4 linked regions of the Drosophila melanogaster genome follow. The protein of the gene in region 4 interacts with the protein of the main gene of each other region in a pairwise test. Each region holds a gene or a part of one and is shown on either strand. Other genes may lie near its edges. The genes, in order: CG11523, Scsalpha1, RunxB and CG30122.

What was found.
Region 1: the proteins of CG30122 (region 4) and CG11523 interact in a two-hybrid assay, tested with the Drosophila melanogaster proteins (one large-scale study listed by BioGRID).
Region 2: the proteins of CG30122 (region 4) and Scsalpha1 interact in a two-hybrid assay, tested with the Drosophila melanogaster proteins (one large-scale study listed by BioGRID).
Region 3: the proteins of CG30122 (region 4) and RunxB interact in a two-hybrid assay, tested with the Drosophila melanogaster proteins (one large-scale study listed by BioGRID).

The regions. Positions count from the first base shown.
Region 1 is NT_037436.4:22,265,306-22,268,433, reverse strand, and holds CG11523 (uncharacterized protein), read left to right. Parts: upstream 1-1,754; 5' UTR 1,755-1,879; coding exon 1,880-2,356; 3' UTR 2,357-2,588; downstream 2,589-3,128. Other genes in the region: Csp (cysteine string protein), read right to left, coding at 647-681; Ddx1 (Dead-box-1), read right to left, coding at 2,589-3,034, 3,107-3,128.
Region 2 is NT_037436.4:3,812,258-3,818,883, forward strand, and holds Scsalpha1 (Succinyl-coenzyme A synthetase alpha subunit 1), read left to right. Parts: upstream 1-1,953; 5' UTR 1,954-2,061; coding exon 2,062-2,098; intron 2,099-2,440; exon of another isoform or gene 2,441-2,623; intron 2,624-2,678; exon of another isoform or gene 2,679-2,866; intron 2,867-2,931; exon of another isoform or gene 2,932-2,983; intron 2,984-3,184; exon of another isoform or gene 3,185-3,284; intron 3,285-3,339; exon of another isoform or gene 3,340-3,501; intron 3,502-3,581; exon of another isoform or gene 3,582-3,727; coding exon of another isoform or gene 3,728-3,789; intron 3,790-3,843; coding exon of another isoform or gene 3,844-3,999; intron 4,000-4,060; coding exon of another isoform or gene 4,061-4,088; exon of another isoform or gene 4,089-4,097; intron 4,098-4,374; coding exon 4,375-4,823; intron 4,824-5,179; coding exon 5,180-5,464; intron 5,465-5,526; coding exon 5,527-5,742; 3' UTR 5,743-6,126; downstream 6,127-6,626. Other genes in the region: PIG-B (phosphatidylinositol glycan anchor biosynthesis class B), read left to right, coding at 1-156, 215-796, 860-1,367; Acp63F (accessory gland protein 63F), read right to left, coding at 3,728-3,789, 3,844-3,999, 4,061-4,088.
Region 3 is NC_004354.4:20,536,775-20,541,514, reverse strand, and holds the start of RunxB (runt related B), read right to left. Parts: upstream 3,019-4,740; 5' UTR 2,916-3,018; intron 811-2,915; 5' UTR 635-810; coding exon 245-634; intron 1-244.
Region 4 is NT_033778.4:18,633,225-18,641,162, forward strand, and holds the start of CG30122 (uncharacterized protein), read right to left. Parts: upstream 6,047-7,938; 5' UTR 5,737-6,046; coding exon 5,595-5,736; intron 5,394-5,594; coding exon 4,623-5,393; intron 4,516-4,622; coding exon 3,664-4,515; intron 3,598-3,663; coding exon 3,116-3,597; intron 3,048-3,115; coding exon 2,919-3,047; intron 1,718-2,918; coding exon 1,546-1,717; intron 1,062-1,545; coding exon 202-1,061; intron 140-201; coding exon 1-139. Other genes in the region: CheA56a (chemosensory protein A 56a), read left to right, coding at 6,970-7,023, 7,090-7,578.

The sequences.
Region 1 (3,128 bases), on a different chromosome or scaffold from region 4:
TCGACTCATTTTTTCTCTATTAAACAATTGAAATCGTGCGATTTGCGGGCAAAAGAGGTGTGGCCAACCGAGAAGAATGCAAGAGGAAGAGGAGAAAGGAAGAGGAAATTCTCATACTGTGTAGTTATAATGTGTAATTCTAATAATGGTCTGTATGTATTACATAGCACATATCTGAATGATATCGGCTCGAGTCTTGATCGATGATGTGCGTAGCCTTTTTTCTACCTTTTACATTTTCCTGCCTAATGCAACATAAGTTGAAACTATGCCACTAAGATTTTAACTAACGATTATTGAAATCAAATAAAAATCGAATTCCGTCAAATGGCCAAATTTGTCCTTGGCCTTGCCCAGGACGAATTCGCTTGTCCGAAATCAAACTCCAGCCGCAGCTGCCCTCCCCTTCCCACTACCGGAGCCCATTATTACCCCTGACCCGGTTCCTTGTTTATCCCGACGTGGAAAGGAAAGTGCCTGCTGGCTCGAGAAAACTTCTGCCGCGAAAAATCAATTTCGCGCCGACCGCGCTGCCTGCGCGCAGCTGCTACTCACACTCGCGCACGGGCTGAGTGTGTGTACTCTGCCGACGGCGCGTGTGTGTGCGCCGTGGAGGAAAAATGAAGGAGCACTACAAAATACTTACGACAGTTTTCTCTTGTCCATGCCAGGTGCGCTCATCCTGATGCCTGTGTCACTTTGACTGCGAACGGGTAACTTGCACTAGCGATCGCTGTCACACGCAGTGAAAGTCTGTGCCTGCCAAGAACCACAATCTGTGCGTGTACTCTTATAATTGCAGTTTTTGACGTCCGTACCGATGCCTCGATTCTTATTTTTTTCGCAACGAAATTAGAGATGGAACTGAACCGATGTTCTATCTTATCGGTTTACCTGCCGACATCAATGATTTCCAGCTCTGGACTAACACGCCATCTATCGCAACATTAATAGCTGCTGTTACGGGACTCACTGTAAGAAATCGCATCGAAAGTGTGCACCAGAGAACTGCAGCAAGCCACTGGCACTCCAAGTGCACCCGCTAAACACTGTTGTATCTAGGCAGCCGGGTGTTTTTTGACACTCTACTTGCGGGAATAAAAAATATCCGACAGTTTTTTATTACGAGCGCAATAACCTTTTCTGGTGAGCGACTCACAAGCAACGATCGGCCGCAGGTCATTTTCTGTATGCATAAAATTTGTATGGGCGGAAGCGAGATTGTCTAAGAAATGAAGGGTGAAAGGGAACACCCAAGGAAAAGGTCGTGCACGTGTTTTTTTTTTTTTGATGCAACCCATTTCGCAGAATATTTTTTTATTAATATTTTTTTATTTAAAAATTAAATTAAGTTTTTTAATTATACAATTACAAAGTTAAATAAGGGAAGCATATATTAAGAACTAATAATAAAATAAAAAAAATTGTCTATTTCGTTTTTTTTTAAATTATTTAATTAAATTAAAATTATTTACAGTTTTGTAAAAAGAATGTAAAAAAGAGGCTATATACAAATTTTGGACTTAATCCATAATCTATACTATGCACCCCTCCATTCCAATTTCAATTATTTAGGAGTAATTTATACTTTCGATACGACAGCAACCGTTTTATATCGGTACGTCTTACGAACTTCTATTAAACCAAAAACTAAGCTAAATTGCATGTAAAATCATTAATAACGATTATATTCAGTTTGGCCGGAACGCCCTGCTCCGCTTCATCGGTCAAAATGTACTAACGCGTGGCACACGCCACACAGCTGCTGTGACACATATGGAGTAGAGTGGAACGACATGTTGCGCCTGTAAAAGGGAATCAGATCGACTGGGATTCAATTAAAAGGCGAGCCGCAGAGCTCCGAAGCGATTCTGTTAGGATGGGCGAACCGAAAGCCACCGCAGACCCTGGGGAGGAGCAGGCCTTCAACTGCGAGGACGAAGCCAACGCCATAATTAACGATGTTAAGGCTCACGTCGCTGAGATTTGCATCTCATCCAAACTGGCAAGCGATGCCACGCAAATTTACCTGAACATCCGGACTATCGAGAGCGCCACTTGCTGCGTTCAGGTGAGCAGTCGTGGCTTCAAGATCGTCTCCTCCCAGTACGACACCATAGACGAGGACAGCCGGATCTCTGCACTGCTTCGCAACGGACAAGAGCAAGGCGACGACGAGGAGGAGGAGATATTTGAAACGCCGTACGCGCTGCTGGACAAGATCAGCCCCCGCTACGTCGAGTCGTTCGGCAACCAGCTGTGCCAGCAGCTTAGAGCGCTGCAACAGATGCGAACCGAGTTCAACGAGGAGGACGAGGAGGAGGAGGAGGAGGCGGAGGAGGAGGAGAAGAAGTGACGGTAACCGGACTCCAGCTTTCAAACGAGGCTGTTTACTCTTTAGACAGACGATTTTAATGTTAGTTTAATTAAATGTTTATTTTTAATAGCAGAGCTTGAGCTCCGACTTCCTACATATACAAAATTGTGTGTTTGTGCCGCAAAAGTATTTCCGCGTGAGTTGGTCTTGCACTTCTCAATTCACCACATCCTTTCCTTGCATAGCAAACAAATGTCGCTCCAGATCCGCGTTAGACCTTAAGACGTTTCAAGAATAAAGATTGTGATTGCAACTCTAGCTCCGTCAGTTTGCGTACAGTTGGCACCAGCTGCTCGACGTGGTCTTCGTAGCCGCTGCCAGTTCTTAAATTCTTTTGACCGTACACGACCTTGCCGTCGAAGTCATTAACTGGCACATCCATGGTCTTGTCCACCTGCTGGATGGTGATGTTCAAGTGGTCCTCAACTTCGGCCAGTAGGTTTGGTTCGTTGTACCAGATGCAGCATCCTCGGACTTCGGTTAAGTTTGTGTTGTTGCAGCTACGGCCGCGCGACTTGCACCACTCGCCGTGGTACCAAACCTTCTCCGGCACTGTTGCCACCAAACTAATGGCCAACCCCATGCGTTCCGCCCTGCCCACACGTCCGATGCGATGAACGTAATTGGTCTTGTCATCGGGCAGCGTCACATTTATCACTGAGGATAAGGAAGTAAATTATTTGGAAAATGGTTTAACGACGGTTATTGTTTCAAAATTTGAGAACTTACTAAACGGCAGCCCCGTAATGTC
Region 2 (6,626 bases), on a different chromosome or scaffold from region 4:
GTATGGCGAATCCACTGCTTACCTGTGGCCAGCTGCCATCTGCTGCTTCCTGAGACCTACGGCTGCTGTTATTTGGCTCCCATTATCCTTGTATCATCTGCGCAGAAGTCGCCAGAACGTGCTGGAGCTGATCCTGAAGCGATTTGTGCTCATTGGGTAAGATAAGAAATCTAAAACATTGACAGTTTTATAATAATCCAACTTTAACTTGTAGTTTACTCGTTGCTGGTCTGGGAATAGCCATCGATACCTATTGGCATGGCCAGTTGATAGTGACTCCGTACGAGTTCCTCAAGTACAACATATTTAACAACATCGGCAGCTTCTATGGCTCACACCCTTGGCACTGGTACTTCAGCGTGGGCTTGCCCACAGTCCTGGGCATCAACACCTTGCCCTTCATCTTTGGCGTGATGGAAACTGTGAAGAAGTCGGAGAAGTACCCTGTTAGCAAGCAGCTTCTGATCACCATCTTCCTGACTCTGGTTGTTCTGAGTGCTGTGGAGCACAAGGAGTTTCGATTTGTTTCCCCGCTCCTGCCGCTCTGCTTGTACGTTATCACAGATGCCCTATCGCGTTGGAGCATCAGAGCCTCGAGCACAATGTTGTGGACCACCGCTTTGGTCATTCTCGTGGGCAATGTTATGCCCGCCTGGTATCTGAGCACAGTGCATCAGAAGGGACCCATTGAACTGATGCCCAAGTTGAGAGAAATAGCTCGGGAATACAGAGATGAACGCGAACACCAGGCGAATATTCTCTTCCTAATGCCTTGCCACTCCACACCATACTATAGGTAAGAAGTTTTGGACTTCACTATTCTTCAATGTTTTAATTTTGCTTTTTGCTTTCTTGTTAGTCACATTCACCAGAATGTCACCATGAGGTTTTTGACTTGCGAACCGAACCTGGAAAAGAAGGAGCAGTATAAGGACGAGGCCGATCGCTTCTTTGAGGATCCCGTGCACTGGATTAACTCGCACATTCCTATGCATCCGCTCACCGCTTTGCCCACACATGTGGTTCTGTTCGATCCGCTGGCCGAGAACATAAGCGTGTTCCTCCGTAACTACCGGCTGCTCCATCGCATCGAGCACGCAGAGGTAACACGGCTGGAGGGCTCGCAGGCTCTGGTGGACCAGTGGTCGGAGGCACTGGGTGCCCAGTCACCTAATCTTGCTTCTCTCTTGCAGAATCGCCAATCGCGCACAGGTCGTTCCATTTTGGTCTACCAGCGCTTGAAGAAGGGCGAGGAGAATGCATTTAATCGCGGGCCGGATTCAGGACAGCACGAGCCGGATGTCCACGATCATCCGCCGCTGGAGGATCTCGTCCTGGCCAACGAGAACGAGAATCTGTTCAATTAGATAATAGAGAAAATAAGAGAACCCACCACCGACGCCCTCCGTTCAAAAGCAAGAAGCAATGACACATTTGAGATTAACTAATAGATACAAACCTATATTTTGTATCCATTTTTGGCCTTAGCAAAAGTTTTTAAAACGTTGTCGCCCGAAGAGAACAGAAAACAGAAACGTAGTTGATATTCGTAGGCGCATGTTGTGTACTCTGTGCTAGTTGCTAATGTGTAAGCCATCTGAGTATTTAGACGCTAGAGGCAATGTATTTTACGTAGTCGATACAACACACTTGATCTGTCCTTTCTTTAAGATCTCGAAATAAAGGTTCAGTGGAGTAGATAAAGATTTATTTGAGATTTACATATTTTGTATATCTTATTGGTGGTTTAAACATTAATTTTCGACGTTTCTTATTTTTTTTTTTTTAATTATCTTTTTAAAATATTTAGCTAATTACATTTTCATAGAACAGCTGTTTGAAATGTAACTGTTCAACTTTCTAATCGATTTGTGGAATACCCCGATTGTAACTTATCGCAGCTAAAATATCGATGGTGTGTCGTAAGCCTTTGCAGTCGCTCTATCGATACTATCGCAGTGGTTAACTCAGCACTATTCGGCCGATTTCGCACTGCATTAATTAAACGCGTTTTAATTGAGTAAAGCTGTTTTTATCGCACAACCACCACACACAGATAATATGGCTGCTTCAATGAGGGCGCTGCTGAAAGTGCGAGGTGCGTATTCTCCACATCGGTTGCCTAACACGCCCGATAGCCTAACAGCATAATAAATTATATAACTTCAATGGATTTACGGCACCAAAAGAACAAATATCCAAGCAATTAGGGAGCACCTGTCGTTCCGACGCATCTGCTGATTAGTCGGCCTCCATTCGGATTAATAAGCGGCTCAATTTGCGAATCCGCAGATACGTGGCTTTGAAATGATTAAAGAGGGGGAGTGCGGGGGTTGTGTTCAAGGTTCGCTTGCATGTGACCCAGCGTACAAACAACCGTTTTTTTTCGGCAACAAGTACAGTGGAACACCGCTTTGGTGACCATCACTTTTTAACTTTTCTCGTAGTGGATATACGTGTATACTTTTAATTTAATAGTTCAAACAAATAATTGCTGCAAGCATTTGCCTTCGTCAAAAAGTTATTTAATTCTAATTTAGTTTGGGATATTTTTTCCAAGCTCCGATCTATATTTATGAATATTTGCCCTTAGGGCATTTGGCATGAATTACTTTTTTGAGTTCTGAAAGCATGGATAAACTTAGTATCGTTCTAAAAGTCAAACTGGTCAGACCTACCTGGCAAACCATTTACTTTACGAAAGCAGACTTCGGTCTTCAGGAAGCTGGCAGTAAGGAAGGTATAGTGGCAATCCGCTGTTATTCCGCACCATGGATCTGCTTTCACCGTAGCTGAATTGGGGGGTTCAAGAACTTTTGGCATTCTTCAACAGTTAGGACACCATTGACTTCTATCATTGTTACAACTGTCACAGGGATGAAACCATACCATGTTTATAGGTATATTCCCATTAAATCTTAGGTAACTCACTGAGTATAAGGATATATCCGAAAATCTTCATGGTGAGATTGAGATTGAATGTTTCGCAAGTGTTGCAGGGTTTTACAAAGATTAGCTGCTAATTACCGAAACATGTCGTATTTAAGGCGATTAAAGCAACAGGTGTGGAATTTCTTAACAAATGTCAAGGCCACAAAAGGCGGTGTTTCTAAACTTTAGATTACATAGATTTTTAAAATGGTAAAAATGAAGAGTTAAATCTTTATTGAAAGTGATCAAGGATATAAAATGCCTTATAATATAAAAAAGTTATTTTCCTTATCTAGTTTTCCTGCATCTGGGTTTACCCCGGGGACACCTTCCGGCCTTGATTTTCAGAAATACTGGACATGTAAATAAGGTTAGGCGAACTGAATACGATAATTGAATTGAACCTACGAGGCTTTCCCAGTTCAGTCAGTTTGCACTGCTCTTGTCCAACGTGCAAAAGACTCAAGCCTTGGAAGTTACAGGTAGCGGCAAACGCGCAGAATGGACTTCCAGCTTTTATAAATCCTTCACAGACACTCTTTCCATTCGCAGTCTCGAATATATTCATAACTGCAGTGGTTGAATAGTTCAGAACGTATGTATTTACTCGCAGTTTCTTGCGTAGAAACTCACTCAGAAATAATAAGAAGCTCAAAGCTTTCATAATCGCACGCAGATTGAGTAGTTTACATATAATTTAATGCTTTAAAATGCTTCTCAGAAGAATTATAGAATATAGGTATTTATAATGCCTTTAATTGAAACATATATGCATGGAAATATTGGAACAATATTACTATTTTAACGAGCAACGCGGTTTACCATGGAGACATTTTCCGGGAATTAGTTCGATGAATCCTAAACGAATCGATTAAGTTTTCTGAAACACAAAAGGTGTCAACAATTACCCACCTGGTTTTCCGTTTTCTTTGCGTTCACACGACACCCTTTTGAGGTAACTTGGATTTGGACCATCTAAGTTACAATCGGGAAGTATTCCGCAGTGAGGATCAAGATTTAGATAAATTGCTTGGTTGCATTTGCTCATAGCATGCACACTTGAAATGACTAAAGGGGATGTAAAAGTAAAACAATTTCGGTTAGCAACATAAGCTCCAAAAAAACTCACACAGAATAAAAACGATGATAGCTTTCATCTTGCAAAGCGACTGATATTCTTAAAGAAAATACTCAACTTAAATAGATCTATATATGGCATGAGTTCTGGAACATATTCCATTCGATCTAGAAAATCAATTATGTGTACTTGGAAAATGGGCAAGAAATATAGGAATTTAATAAATAATAAACCTTTCTCGAACGTTACGCAAATGAAATTATCATGTAACTATGTAAGTTTACACTTGCAGGCTGGTTTATTAATATCCAAAATACTAAATTTCCAACTTTAGTCCTAAAATGATTCATTCTTACATTTTTCAGATGGCTTCGTGGCCGGAGTGCGCTGCAATTCGCAGTACAACAAGACGCGCGGCAACTTGAAGCTGAACGGCGATTCGCGGGTGATCTGCCAGGGATTCACCGGCAAACAGGGCACGTTCCACAGCCAACAGGCTCTGGAGTACGGCACCAAGTTGGTCGGCGGCATTTCCCCCAAGAAGGGAGGCACCCAGCATCTGGGACTGCCCGTCTTCGCTTCGGTGGCGGAGGCCAAGAAGGCCACCGATCCACATGCCACCGTCATCTATGTGCCACCACCGGGCGCTGCGGCCGCCATCATCGAGGCTCTGGAAGCGGAGATCCCCCTGATCGTTTGCATTACGGAGGGTGTGCCGCAGCACGACATGGTGAAGGTGAAGCACGCCCTCATCAGCCAGAGCAAGTCGCGATTGGTGGGTCCCAACTGCCCGGGAATCATCGCCCCCGAACAGGTTCGTACATCTCCAGCGCTTGAGAGATAAGCTTGGCCAGAGGGCAAAGTCCACGTTCATCTGGTGGTTTTCTTATCTCTTGGTATGACGCTCGCTTTGAACTACATATATCTGTTTACTATTCCGTTTTCAATTTGCTTATTGTTAATGTATAAACAGGCCTCCATTGACACACCCTTAAATTTGGGCATTGAACTTTGCACCTGAAGTTGGTGGAATTTGCGGACGATACGTTTTTTATTACCATTTATAACGCTTATCTTTCTATGCGTCACAAAACTTAGTGATTACCCACTTCACTCCACTTTCAGTTAAGTCAATTGTATAATCTTAAACTATGTTTTTTCTGATTGCAGTGCAAGATCGGCATCATGCCGGGTCACATTCACAAGCGCGGCAAGATCGGCGTGGTCTCGCGCTCGGGAACCTTGACCTACGAGGCCGTGCACCAGACCACGGAGGTGGGTCTGGGCCAGACCCTGTGCGTGGGCATTGGAGGCGATCCGTTCAACGGAACCGACTTCATCGACTGCCTGGAGGTCTTCCTCAAGGATCCCGAGACCAAGGGCATCATCCTGATCGGCGAGATCGGAGGCGTTGCCGAGGAGAAGGCTGCCGACTACCTGACCGAGTACAATTCGGTATGAGAAGCCATCACGGATCAATGTATTTCATTGCTAAATGTTTTTGTATCCTATTGCAGGGCATCAAGGCCAAGCCTGTCGTCTCGTTCATTGCCGGAGTGTCGGCGCCACCCGGCCGTCGCATGGGTCACGCTGGAGCCATCATTTCCGGAGGAAAGGGAGGTGCCAACGACAAGATCGCCGCCCTGGAGAAGGCCGGCGTCATTGTGACCAGGAGTCCTGCCAAAATGGGCCACGAGCTCTTCAAGGAGATGAAGCGTCTGGAGTTAGTGTAAATAATTAAAGGCCATAACCAAACCGGAATCCGTACGCCGATCAAAGCGTATACGCAAACTCATGATGATGAACCTAACGTTAAGCTAAAAGTGTCGAAAATCGAAATTGCATTCGAGCGAACCCAAATAAATTATTGTGAAAAATTACTAGAGAGAAACGAGAGGCGTTGAATTGTGACATGTATTCCAAGAATTAAGTTAACTACTGCCGTACCACCAAGTTGAACTAAAATAACTCGCACCAAAACCAAGATTTCTAATTGTTATTGCACTCGGCTCATTGTTTGTGTTGCGAACAGATTTTTGCCTTAATTTTAAATGCCTGCTCGAATTATCAATGCGAATTGTATCTGAATGTGTAATAAATATGCATAAAAACAGGATAGATGTGGTGAATTTTCGTGGTTTTAGCTATACAAGCCATATCCTTTGAAAATATGAATTTTCAGGTCAATTTATTTAATCTAAACTAAAATTCTTTGGAGAAGAATTAACAAAACAATAATTTATGAAAAGCAATGCTTACCATATTAAAAAAAGATTTAAGGAAATTTAAAAAAATGTAGTTTTCTACTTTCGATATTTAATGGGATCGACTTGCAAACATCAAGAGCACACATCGATAGAGCGGAAGTTTCGATTAACTCGTGAAATATCTGGCAACATTAATATCGAACTGCCATCGCTTTTTGTGCCAGCTCTAATAAACATATATATGTTTTAGGGCCGCGATTGAAAATGCGTGCCACAAAGGCCTAAACAAACTTGGAAAACACCGCGAAAAACGTCAGAAGCTATAGTGCCGATTCGCATATTGTTCGCCACCCCGGAAAAGTGTGAAAATCGCAGATAATCAAAAGGGAGAGCAACCAAAGGAAAAGCAA
Region 3 (4,740 bases), on a different chromosome or scaffold from region 4:
ATATATTTTAACGAAGCAATTTGACAATTCCTCTCAACGCAAATCATTAGTTTTGCGCGAAAAAAAAGATTTGGTCTTGTCCAAAAAGAGTTATTTTCTTATAAAAAATGCATTCTCAACAACACTGCTATAGAAATATATAGAAATATATAGAGCGTTTATTTGTTGACACTCAATTGGTTTTTTTTTTTTTTTAGTTTGCTGAAAGTTAAAATCTTTGCAGTTATGAGATATGAGTACGCACCACATGTGGAGATCCCGTCTTGACCAGCTCGCCAGGATGTTCGGCGAGCAGGACGTCGACGGTGCGCTCGATGAGATTCTCGGGGGTTAAGTAGGGACTCGTGTCCACGGGCTTTGTTTTAACATTATTATTATTGTTGTTGTTGTTGTTGTTCGTGGTGCTGTTGTTGTTATTGTTAGTATTATTATTGTTGGTGGTGCTGGTATTGTTGTTGTTGTTGTTATTGCTGCTGGCAGAGGACTCAGCATTCCGCCGCTTCGTTGTGGTCGTTGTTGCTGTCTGTTGTTGCTGGTGCTGCAACAACTGATGTTGCTGCTGCTGCTGATGTTGCTGCTGCTGTTGCTGTATTTGATTTGAGGTGGTCGAACTGACCTCAGCAGAAATGTGCATTATTGCAGCTGCTAGCTGGGCACAAGGTATTTCAGGGCCCCTCTTTGGTTGCCAGTACTCAGTGGATTCAGTGGATTCAGTTGCCGGCGGGTTTCGTGGGTTTTCGGTTTGATTTCAATGCCTGCCTCAAAGAGTCGACGCTTTCAATCCGATCATTGTCAGCTCATTTGGTCAATCTGGAAAATTAATGTGGACTGCGAGTGAGATTTCGGACTGCCAGCGGATTTTTTGTGTGTCTGTGTCTGTACGTTGTTCCCCAAAGCAATTTCTCTGGATAATCGATTGATAAATGGAATATAATGTAAAAAATAAGCAAAATCCATTTAAAATAAATCAAATAAAAAACTTAAAAATTAAATGTAATAAAATTGCATGCAAAAACTCCTAAAACAAGAGTACAACAAAATACATTAACTAGTTTGCACCAATGCACTGCACTGTAATTTATTTCAAAAGCGTTTTTTGGAACACACACACACACACACATAGATAATATCTTTTTGTACGAGCTGCGATGCTTTTGTTGCCACTGCTTCTTTGTTTTTCAGTTTGCAGCCCGCATAAGTATGCTGCACTTTTTGTTTATTGCCGTCAGCGACAACAGCTCAATTATTATTGCACTTTGACCTCGGGAGGTCGGGGACACAAAGGCACATCCAGATTCGGAATCAGAATCAGAAACTGTTGCTGTATAGTATCGCTATCTGGAAACCAAACAGAAAACAGAAGCAGCCGAATTGAATCGAATCGATTCGAAATGAATCGAATTGAATCGAATCGAATGCAATCGCAGCGAACCGCACACCTTTGCGCACAATTTGCATTTAAGCCGTCGTCGGCGAGTGCAGCTCAATTAAATATTAAAAAATCATAACCAATAATGAGGAATTTCGACCCGTAGGCAGTGCCCAAACTAAGATGTACGACTGCGAGTGTGGGTCGGTGTGAAAATTCCATTTTATGTCCATCAAATGGCGAATAAAAATGGCAAAAAGCCAGGGGGGAAAATTATCGAAAGCGCCAGATGTTGCCGGTTTGTGTTTGGCCAGCCAGTCGCTTTTGTTTAAATAAAAACCAGTTGCCGGACACAGCCGCGTTTTGTTTTCACGATGCCGGATTTTTTTTTTCCACCAACTATTTTCACGATACTTTTCACTACGTTCTGGCCAGGTCTCTAAGTTATGCGAAATAATTTTGAAAAATTCCGAATTAAAAATTAAATAACCCATTACTGGGTTCGTTAGTTTCAGAATACATATTTTGATAAATGTGCTTAAGATAAAGGCCTATGAACTTATGGCAATCATTAAGCCTTCATTACTATAGGCTTATCAGCGAAGACTTACTATTTCCAAAGTAAATTCGTAAAATGGGCAAAAATTAATATTTTAACTGTTTTTAATAAAATAATTAAAATGATTATGATAAGACAAGATAATAAATGAGAGTGGGTAACAAAATTATTTATGAGCTATTAATTCATTTTTCCAAAGAGGATATAGCGCATCCAGAGCTTCGGCCTATTAGAACCCTTGCAATTTTCTTCCTGATTTGTAATGTAGAGTAGCAAGTGCTGCACAAACACAATCGAACCTAAAGATATATATCTGTACATGTATGTACATATGTGCACACGCTGCGTATACGCGTTTTTTACAACTTCCGCTCCGAAATGAATACATGTGTGTACGTGTGAACCCATATGTATGATTATATGCATTTTTTTTACCAACTGCCGAATGCAGATGTCCCGCCAAATGAGCTGGCCAAGCGACTATGTGGCGGCCCATGTGGCCACAGATGAGCGGAAGGGGGCGTGGTCTATATAATCGGTTAAAAAACAACTCGGTGGCGGGGCTAGCCACAATTAGACCAACAAATTTAAAAAAAAGATTTAGAAAAAGATGCACTTATGCCAAAATGCTTAGAAAATCAAAACAATTGACGTGGCAATTAACGCTCTTGGGCTGCATTTCTTACACTAAATAAAGTTTAGATTTTAAATGGTAAAATTAGTTGCTCTTAAGTTTGCTTCGATTGATTAGTATTTCATTATACAAAATTAATTTATCCTTACGATATTGGGAAATGTTAATAAAACGGTAAATAAGGCATAACATTTAATTATAGATTTAATGCAATGATCAACAGATAGATCGATAGTTTACGGGATGTAACAACTTTATTTAATACTTGACAAAATTGTGTGTGAAACAAAACAAAATTCGTTGTAATTTCTATAGCTGTGTTTTATGGACGATCATGGATATCACACACTTACGTTAACTCAGTTTTAACAATTATTTATATTCTCCAAACACCATGTGTTAGTTGGACTTAAAAACAATTTTATTTTGTACAGATATTTTCAATACGTCGGCACCACAAGCACTACAAAAAAATTATTGAATTTCGGCCAGACTCTTTCGATTTCGAGATTTCTAATTACTTGAATTTTTTGTAATTTTTTTTTTTTTTGTATCAGCCACCGGCACACACACAAGCACGCACGATAACGCACACACTGACGCACTGGCACAGACACAAATGATGGGGCTTAGTGGAACAGCCACATGGACACATCGACGGGGGCTGAGACTGGCGATCGAATCAAACGACACGGAGATATTAAACTATTTTTTTGCGGTAACCATGAACGCGACCACTACGAGCGGTTGGCAACGCCGACCACCGACGTCGGCAGCGACGTCGACCGCGACCGCGATGCCGGCTGAGGGCCACCGATTTGGAATAGAGCTAGTGCACAGCATCCAACAGTAACGAAGTCTCACGCAGCGAGCTCACGAAGTTGCCGGAGGACGCGAAAGACGCGAAGGACGCTAAGGACGCTAAGGACGCTAAGGACGAGGAAGCGCAGGCGACGCCTCATCATAATCACAGGCGAAAAGAAACAGGACCACCTCACCTCCCAAGCACTCGAAAAGCACTCCCGCCCCCCAGGGGAACGTCTATGTCGACTTCTTGCTCAACTGCTGGGGGTATATACAGTCAGGACTCCGCAAGAAGGCTCATATAACACCACTAATACCTTTTTAACTTTATACATGAATTTAATATTATTTGAATGGTAAAATTGCAAGGAAGTGCACAATTTTTTTCATGCAACATCCGGCTCGGCGAACCAAAAACTTTGATATCATATCATCATATCTCTTTGGTCTGGTCGAGCCTTCTCTCGAGATCTTTTTAGTGCTATCTTGTAAATTTTAAATATATTGAACCATGGTAAAAAAAATATCGTTATTGTAGTGCACGGTGAAACAAGGCGTTCCATTTATTGAGGTTTGATTGTGCTGTTTCTTGCAGTTTTTCCTCGTCTTTAGCTGTTGCTGTTGTTGTTGTTCTGGATGCTTGGATGCCGCCTCTCCTCCTTTTTGGCTTAACATTTACCGCGAGAACCAGTAGCAGCGGTTGTCCTCTGGCAGCGCAGTCGAAGTCGACGTCGAAGCCGGCAGCGACGCCGGCAGCGGGAGGGTCCGGGGCAAGGGGCAAAGTAAACCGAAAACCGAAAACCGAAACCAGAAAACGTCAACTACACCACAAGCAGAAAGGCCGCAACGACGTCTTCAAGTTGGACAGAGAAGAGTAGAACCACCAACCGAGCCACCCAGCTCCCACCACCCACATACCACCCCCCCCGAAGAAAGGGCAACCCACCACGGGCATCTTAGAAAAATTGCGCTCAATTTTTTGGCGCACTCTGGAAAAAATTCCAGAGGCGATGGCGCAAGTGAGAGGTGCATAGTGGGCGAGAGAGAGATGGGCGAACTTCTTGAGTTTTTCCCAGGCTTTTCTTTGCATTTCAGTGTTTTTTCATTTTTCCTGCTTCAACCCCCGAAAGAATTTCTTTCTTGGAAAGGACTCAAAAAAATGCTCTCATCTCGTCTCAAAATGGGAAAAAGAAGAAAAATCCAAGCGAAAGCAAAGCGTTGGAGACGCGGCTTTGTGGCAAACCAGGAATTGGTAAGCCAGGGCGAAAGAGATGGCATCTGCGTGCGAGAAAGAGAGCGCCAATGTCTTGTGGCTGCCATTTGCGGCGAAGAAAACCCGAAGAGTGAGTGAAAAATCGCAACCACATAGGGCAC
Region 4 (7,938 bases):
GGCCCGCCGCTGCTTGCTGAGGTTGTTGGTATTGTTGTGACTGCTGCTGAGTCTGCCAGATGCCCGTTTGTTGATGCTGCGGCGCCTGCTGTTGCTGATGGTGTTGACTGTACGTACTCCACTTGCCGCTAAGGGAGGCCTACAGGAACGATCGAGATCTTAGCCAGCTGTCATGCGTCGAGGATTTGGTCGCACACTTACCTTGCCTCCGCCAGGTGCTCCACCTTGTTGCTTGTACTGATCGTAGCCACCGCCTACAGCGGTGTTATTGCCATACTTGGGTAGCGATTGACCAGCTGACCGCTCATAGCCACCGCGACTATCTTCTTTGGTGTCGCGGTGGCCAGGCCGAAAATCCCGTTGTTGATGAGTACCACCTCCCGAGCGATAGCTACTCTGGCTGCTGCCCCGGTTCCGGTCGTTACTGCCCATTCGACTGCGGTCGTTGCCACGGTCTCGATCGCGATAGTCCCGCGAGCTGCCGTAGCCGCGGTCGTCATACCCACTTCTGCGGTTGTTCTGCATCCAGTTTTGCTGACCACCACCACCACCACCACCACCGCCGCCGCCGCCACCACCACCGCTGCCGCCTGCGTATCCACGGTTGCGATTGTCGTATCCACGACTGCCGCTTCCACCGCCACCATAGCCGCGATCATCGTACCCGCTTCTGCGGCTGTTCTGCACCCAATTTTGCTGGCCACCGCTACCGCTGTTGTAGTTGCGGCGATTGTCGTAGCCACGACTGCCGCCTCCACCACTATTGCTGGAGTAACCGCCACCGCCGCCTCCCCTGCGGGAGTCGCTCCAACGACTTTCGTGCCGCTGGCCGCCATAATCACGACGTCGGTCATCATTGTATCGATTCCGGTTCCGGTCATCACGACGATAGTTGTCGCGACTTCCTCGGGATCTCTTGTCACGCGACCTCTCCGCGTCAATGGCCTTTTTGCCCTTCTCGTTGTACTTCTTGACCTCGCTCTTGGCCTCGTCACCAGTCAGCTCCGTGTAGTTTATATCATCGAACCAGCCAAACTCCAGCGAGGGAAGTGTGAAGTTGGCTGGAAAAAGATTGCGTGTACATCATCAATAAGGCTGCACAATTGCTAAAATCGCTCATTATCATTACAGATTAGGAATTATTGTAGATGGAGTATAGAGGGAAAGAAGGGATCAACTTTGGCAACCGAACGTAAAAGGGCGCAAAAATTTCGATTTTCAAGAAATCCAGTTGTGAATAAAGTCCATCCTTTATACGTTCCAGTTGCCAAGTGGGGGTTGTTATAGAATAAATGTTAATGAATAATGGTAATAATAATAATCAAATTATGAGATATTTTGAAGGGCTTACAGTTACAATTACGTATAGATACATAAAGTGCAGCTGCTTACAAACTAAATACGTTACATAAGTTTTTATAATGTTTTTCATTTTAACAAGAATGCCTCCTTATTTAGATAGGTAGAATAATAAGTTATACGATCGTACATTATTCTGGATTTTTTTTTTCAATTCGTTGCTTTGGTGTGGTGGATAATATTTACCTCGTAAATTATTAATTGTTGATTCTTTAACTGTAAAAGCATTTCCCTTTTCCTCTTTTTCGGCGATGCGACGTTTCAATTCATCTTCGCTGGGTATGCAAACGACCGCAATTCGCTTGAAGTCGTTAAAACCCTTCATTTTACGTCGCTGGGCCGAGGCATACACATTGGTCTACAAGAATACAGTTGGTTGATCGGTTGGTTGGTTGGTGTTGTTTGGTTGAATTGGGTTCAGATTTTGTCTGCCAGTTGTTGTTTGGTTGGATTTGGTTTGGTTGTTGTTGGGACAGTCGTCGAACTTGAGAAACACGTTGATGATACGGCTCGGTTGGAGACCTCGGTCTACCGGGATCGAACCCAACTCGCATTGAGCTCGCTTGCTTTCAGCGCTTATAATCTAACACATACCTGTTGCACGGCGGGACACCCACTTCCCGCCCACACTCCGCCGGCAAGGGAGCGGGGCCTTACGGAAGCGGTGCGCGCACACCAACATAATACCTAGGGGGCGGCGACGGGTTAATGTTAACCCGGCCACATCTAACAACAGTTGACTTAATACTTTGCATAAGGATAACAGAATGTACTATGGGGGAAAAGTAGTCGCGGTTGGCTGTGCTGCTGGCTGTAGGATGAAGCATCGCATAGCTTTCTGTAGATACACATACATATATATGAGAATAGTTGGCATTTAGAGAGAGAGATAGAGTAGAGATAGTAGGTACTAATACGTATATGTGATTAGATTGTAGGCGAACGACTCGTCGATCGGATTTGTGTTTGTCTACTTACAGTGGCATCCATGCCGCTCGCTCCTCCTCCTCCTCCTTCTTCCATACTTTACTTCACTCCATTCCATTACACTCACTCATCTTTCTCCAATGCCATTTCCATATCCATATCCACTTCCATCCCCACTTTTCTTACAATTCCCTCTTAACTGCCCCGTCAACTGTTGCGCCTGCACGTAAAACTTAAGCTAATGGGAAGTCCACAGATACTTACTGCCTCAAACTTAAGCACTCTAATTATCGGATCGACTTACAATTAGGACATACCTGCACGTTGGTGCCCCTTCTAGGGGCACTTGGGCACTCTATTAAGTTAGAGCGATGAGCAAAAAAAAAATGCATACTCAAATGTACAATTAAAAAATATATAGCGCAACATTGCTGTGCCCCGCTGGTGGAACCCCTCAATCCCGAGGGGATCAGAGCCCCAGTGTGTTGGGTGGGCGCCAAAGTCATCATCAACGTATAATTCTCGCTTGTTTCGTTTTGTGTTTGGTTATCGTTCGTTCATAGTGTAATCTTGTGTGTTTGTGGGCTGGTGTTTTGTTTCGGGTGTATGTAGGTCATTTGTTAATGGTTTACCTGATCAAGTATGAAATTTCGACGCCGCTTCATGGCAATATCTTCCAGAGCCGCCAAGCTATTTAAGCATATCTCGTACACCTTGTCCCATCGACCTTTGTGCACAGTCTTGCGAGAGGCGCCATCGATCTGCAAATATATTGGTCAGTACTGAATATCTTCAGCGCCTAGCTATGTACATTTATTAACCAACTTACTGTCATCTTTGAAATGAATGCGTCGGGTCCAATCAACTCGTAACGCTTGTCAGCATTCTCGGCCACATGCTTATGGGCCCAATGGGTCTTTCCGGCTCCTGGCAAGCCAACCAGTAAAATGACTTCGCACTCCTTGCGAGATCCGACGCGTTGTGGACCGGAAACCAGCTTTTCGACAGGTACTAAGCCGATCAATACATAGCCTTCCAGCAGGGCAGCTGTATCCCTTGGCTCGGGCACGACATCCTCGTACTCATCTTCGGTCGTCTGCGACCTGTCCTTTTCCTTTTCGGATTCAGCCTTTTCCGAATCTCCATCGGTTTTGGGTCGCTTGTTCGGCGAGGGGCCATCCTCATCTTCTTCATCATTGTTTTCGGAGGGTTTCTTATCCTCAGATGCCTTTTCATCGTTTGCCTGTTCTGCAGCAGCATCACCATTTGACACAGCTGCAGTTTCTGACGACTTTTCGGTAGAAGTTTCAGCTAAAAGGAAAACCCAAAATATTAGCATTTTGTGGGATAACTGATTTTCAATCAATCATTACTCACCAGTTTCCGAAGCCTCGGTAGCTTCTGATTCGGGCTTAGCAGCTTCAGCAGGAGCCTCGACTTTAGTTTCGGCTTCTGTTTCCGTTTTTGGCGCCGCCTCATCCTCTTTGGCTTTTTCAGGATCTTCGGCTTCCTCTTCATCTTTCTCCGAAGAAGCCTTGCCATCTTCATCCTTTTTCTCCACCTCATCATCATCCGCCGTGGCTTCGTCCAAGACCTTCCACTTCTCGCCATCGTTGTCATCCTTATCGTCGTCCTTATCCTTGTCTTCGTCTTTACGTGGCTTGCGGCGCTTGCGCGTGGGCCTCTCGGCATTCACCAACAGCTGCTCGGTGTCAGAGAAATTCACTAAGTATTCGTAGCCCTTGGTAACGATGTGCGGAAACAGGGCTCCCTCCTCGCCCAGTATGCTCTTCTCAAACTCGAACGCAACTCCAAGATCCTCGCCGTTCAGAGTGTAGTTAATTGTGCACGGCTCACTTTCCAGATCTAAATAGCAGCCGATAACGTCATCCAGCTGGTAAGGCTTGCCGTAATCGGTAAACTCGCTCTGAGTAGCCTTACGCCCGGTCTCGCAATAGCCAAATGAATGCTCGGCCTCGCCTAGCAACAAGGAGCTCTTGGGCATTGAAAATCCCACGCGGAATCCTCGCACATGCGGCTCATCGCGGAAGTAGTGCGAGTTCTCCGGCACCGACTCCTCGGAAAGGCGCACCTCAAAGCACACTTTGCCTTCGCGCACTCCGTAGTTTGCGCGGGCTCCGGACCAAATAAGCGAGTAAATTTCCGATGTCAGGGGTTTGGCCGATGCAAACGTGGTTGGGTCGATGCGTAAATGCAAGTCAGAGTCCACTGGAATATAAAAACAAAGGGATATTAGTTACTGTGAATGATGGATCAAGCTTTGAACGTTAAGGAATGTGTGTATCGAATTCGTTGCAAACAGCAAGTCTACTTACGCCAGCTCAATCCGACTTTGTTCTCCTCGATGGTTGGCTCGTCCTCAGGAACTGTGCGTTCCTCGGCCGCTGCCTTTGACTCACGCTTGTCACCTACGCTGCCGCGATGTTTGGACGAGCGGGAGCCACTGCGCGATCGGGATTTGGACCGACTGTGTGATCGCTTGCGGCGTTCCGGGGGCTGATCCTCAGGCTTAGCTGCTGGCTCGGTCTCCTCCGCCGTTTTCGGGGCGGCCGAATCCTCCTCATCAACGTCCATTTTCTGGCTGTCGCCATTTGACTGATGCTCGGCCACAGTGCTCTCGGCTGGTTTCTCCTCTACAGGCTCCTCAGTTTGTGTAGGTTCCTGCTCCTCAGGGGCAGCATCATGATCCTCTTCCATGGGTTCATCAGCCACTTCATTCTGTGGTACGACGGCGGGTACTGCCTCTTCGATTGTCTCCTGCTTGTCGTCTGTCTCCGACTTTTCATCAAACTCTTCGGGCTCAGGCTGCGACTCCTCATTGACCGCTTGGTTGACGGTTGTGTCCTCTGTCACTGCTGCAGCTGGCTCAGCTTCCTCCGGCTCACTTTGTTCTGGTTCCGGCTCGGCTGCTGGCTGTTCACTTTCTGGTTCTGGCTGTGGCACTGTCTTATCCTCCGGCTGCTCCTCCTCTTCGAGAGTATCGAGCACTGGTTCTGCGGCCACGGGAGCAGCTTGCACCGGCGATGGAGAGCGGGACATAGAGCGCGTGCGACGCTGACGGCGGCTTGGTGTGACCGGCGCATTTTCTGGACGCGGGAAAAGTGAAATGTGATTACTTTATCATTATATAAGGAAAACTTACAACTAACTCACGCTCAGTCGCACACAAACAGAAACCGAAACACAAGCATGACTTGGACGCGGCAAAGCACACGCACACAGTGACACCCACACACATACACACTGGAACAATCGGGCGGTCAAATGACGCATACACACAAACTTACCACCGTCGCCGGCTCCTCCTTCCACATATGCCCTCAGGCGCTCGACGAGCACCGCTTTGACTCCTTTGGTGTCCAGGCCGCGCGACTGGAGCTCGTTGCGCAGGTCCACCACCTTCATCTTCTCCAGCTTCGCCACATCCATTCTTGCGCTTCAATTTGGATTGGCGGCAGAAACACACACGCTTATTCACTCAATGTGCACCGCTGAAAAGCTGGCGATGTGAAAAACTGAATTGGGGGAATTTCGGGCCAAATCACGCTGTCTGGCAAATGACACCCACACTGGAAATGTCACCGTAGTCAAGTCGCAATGGTTGCTAGCACCGTGCGCGCACAATTAAAACGCAATATTCGTTTTTACATTCGCATTTGTTGCGAATAAATAAATGGACCTAAATATTATACCGAACGCGTTGAAGTGAAGTTGGCTGCGATTGGGAAAACGAAAACGTAGAGCTACCGTGCTTGGGTTCGATACTTGTGCTTGGTGGCTATCGATAACAGGCTGAACATCACTAGCGATAGAAGGCGCTTGTGTGCATCAACCGTTTGCATGTGCGCTGCAAGAAAATATTTAATGATTGAATGATTTGTAGTAAATACTATATCAATAAAAATTAATAGGCAAAGTCAATGTTTATTTCAAAACATAATTAATAGTATTAAAACCTGCATAACAAAGTGTTTTTCGTAAATTGACTTTAGGTATAATGGCTGTTTGGCACAGGCATTAACAACGACTCCGTGGCGCAACGGTAGCGCGTCCGACTCCAGATCGGAAGGTTGCGTGTTCAAATCACGTCGGGGTCAAGCAATTGATGTTTTTTTTTCATTATTTTTAGTTTGCAAACTATATAAAATAAATACGAATTTAAGATTTCAAAAAAAAAAAACAGTATACAAAATTTGCATCGGCCGGGAATCGAACCCGGGCCGCCCGCGTGGCAGGCGAGCATTCTACCACTGAACCACCGATGCTTAAATACTAGATGTCTTACCTTCAATATAAGCTTGGATTGCAAATCCATTGGGTCATTTCTATAAATTGCTAAAATAGTTTAAGGTTGATTAATAAAATGTAATGCTGAAATAAAACTAACTTAATACGCAGCGTTGCTAATATACTTATTACGAAAAACTGCATGTTTTTTATATTATACCATTTTCCTAACTTGTTATAACATCCTAACTTCCTAACTTTTGTAACATCGATTGTGGCCATGCCCCTTCAGCAGAACAAGTGCTCATTAACACTCACTTATAATTAAATTTGAAATATATTTTATCGACATGCCATACTCATGTCGCTATAAAATCTATAAGTTAAAGATGCACAATCCAAAATTTCGCAATTGGAGCGTTTAAATTCAGGAATATGTCTTTTTGGTGGATGATACAAAGCCTTTTGATCCTGTGGACAGTGTCAGTGGTAAGAATAAATAAAATAATCAATAAAGAAATTTGTGGCAATAATATATTTATTTTTAATTTTTAGGGATCAAAAAAAAGCAACTATGAAGTCCGCTTTGAGTCGATAGATGCCGTAAAAGGAAGTACCGAAACCCTTTTTCTATACCAGCTACGATTGCTCGGTAGAAACCGCATGATAAATGGAACTCTTATTTTCTTAGAAGACTTGGACGAAACGTTCGACGTCCTTTTCGAATCCCACGCATTTAAAAATGGATATTGGGTCAAGGGAATCGTGAACGCCGCCGCCAGCAAACCCTGCGAATTTTTCAATCGCTACTACATTTCCTTTTTCCTAGTAAAATCGACCGAATCGAATTTACCCACTACCGGTGCTGAAATGTGTCCTTTTCGAAAGGGTACATATTTTGTGAAAAACGGCGTTGTTTCTACCGAAGATTGGCCACCCATTGTCTTTAAAGGTCTTAACAGATTCACCATTTCGTATCTAAAAAATGGCGAATGTGTTGGTGGAGTTCAGTTAACAATTAGTATAGCAGAAATCATCACATAGTCTTAAAAATTTATAATACCACGAAAAAATATATGGCATAAATGAAAACTCAATTATTTCTCTGTGTGTGTGTGTATGTATAGCCAAGCCATTTTTATATATTTTTCTTCTTACATTTTTGATTACAGTTTATAGTTACAGCTAAAATGATTGCATTCGAAATTGTTTCGTTTCGTTTACACGGAATATGCGCATATATATTTAGCTAAGAATCTCTTTTAAATAGTAATAGGTTCTTTAATGGGGTTCACATAAATATTTACATGCACATTTGCACATAGAATTGTAATAATTATTTATCGTTATATATCGCTTTTACGTTCCCAGTTCAGATCCATTTCTAAGGCTCGTCCCAAGCAA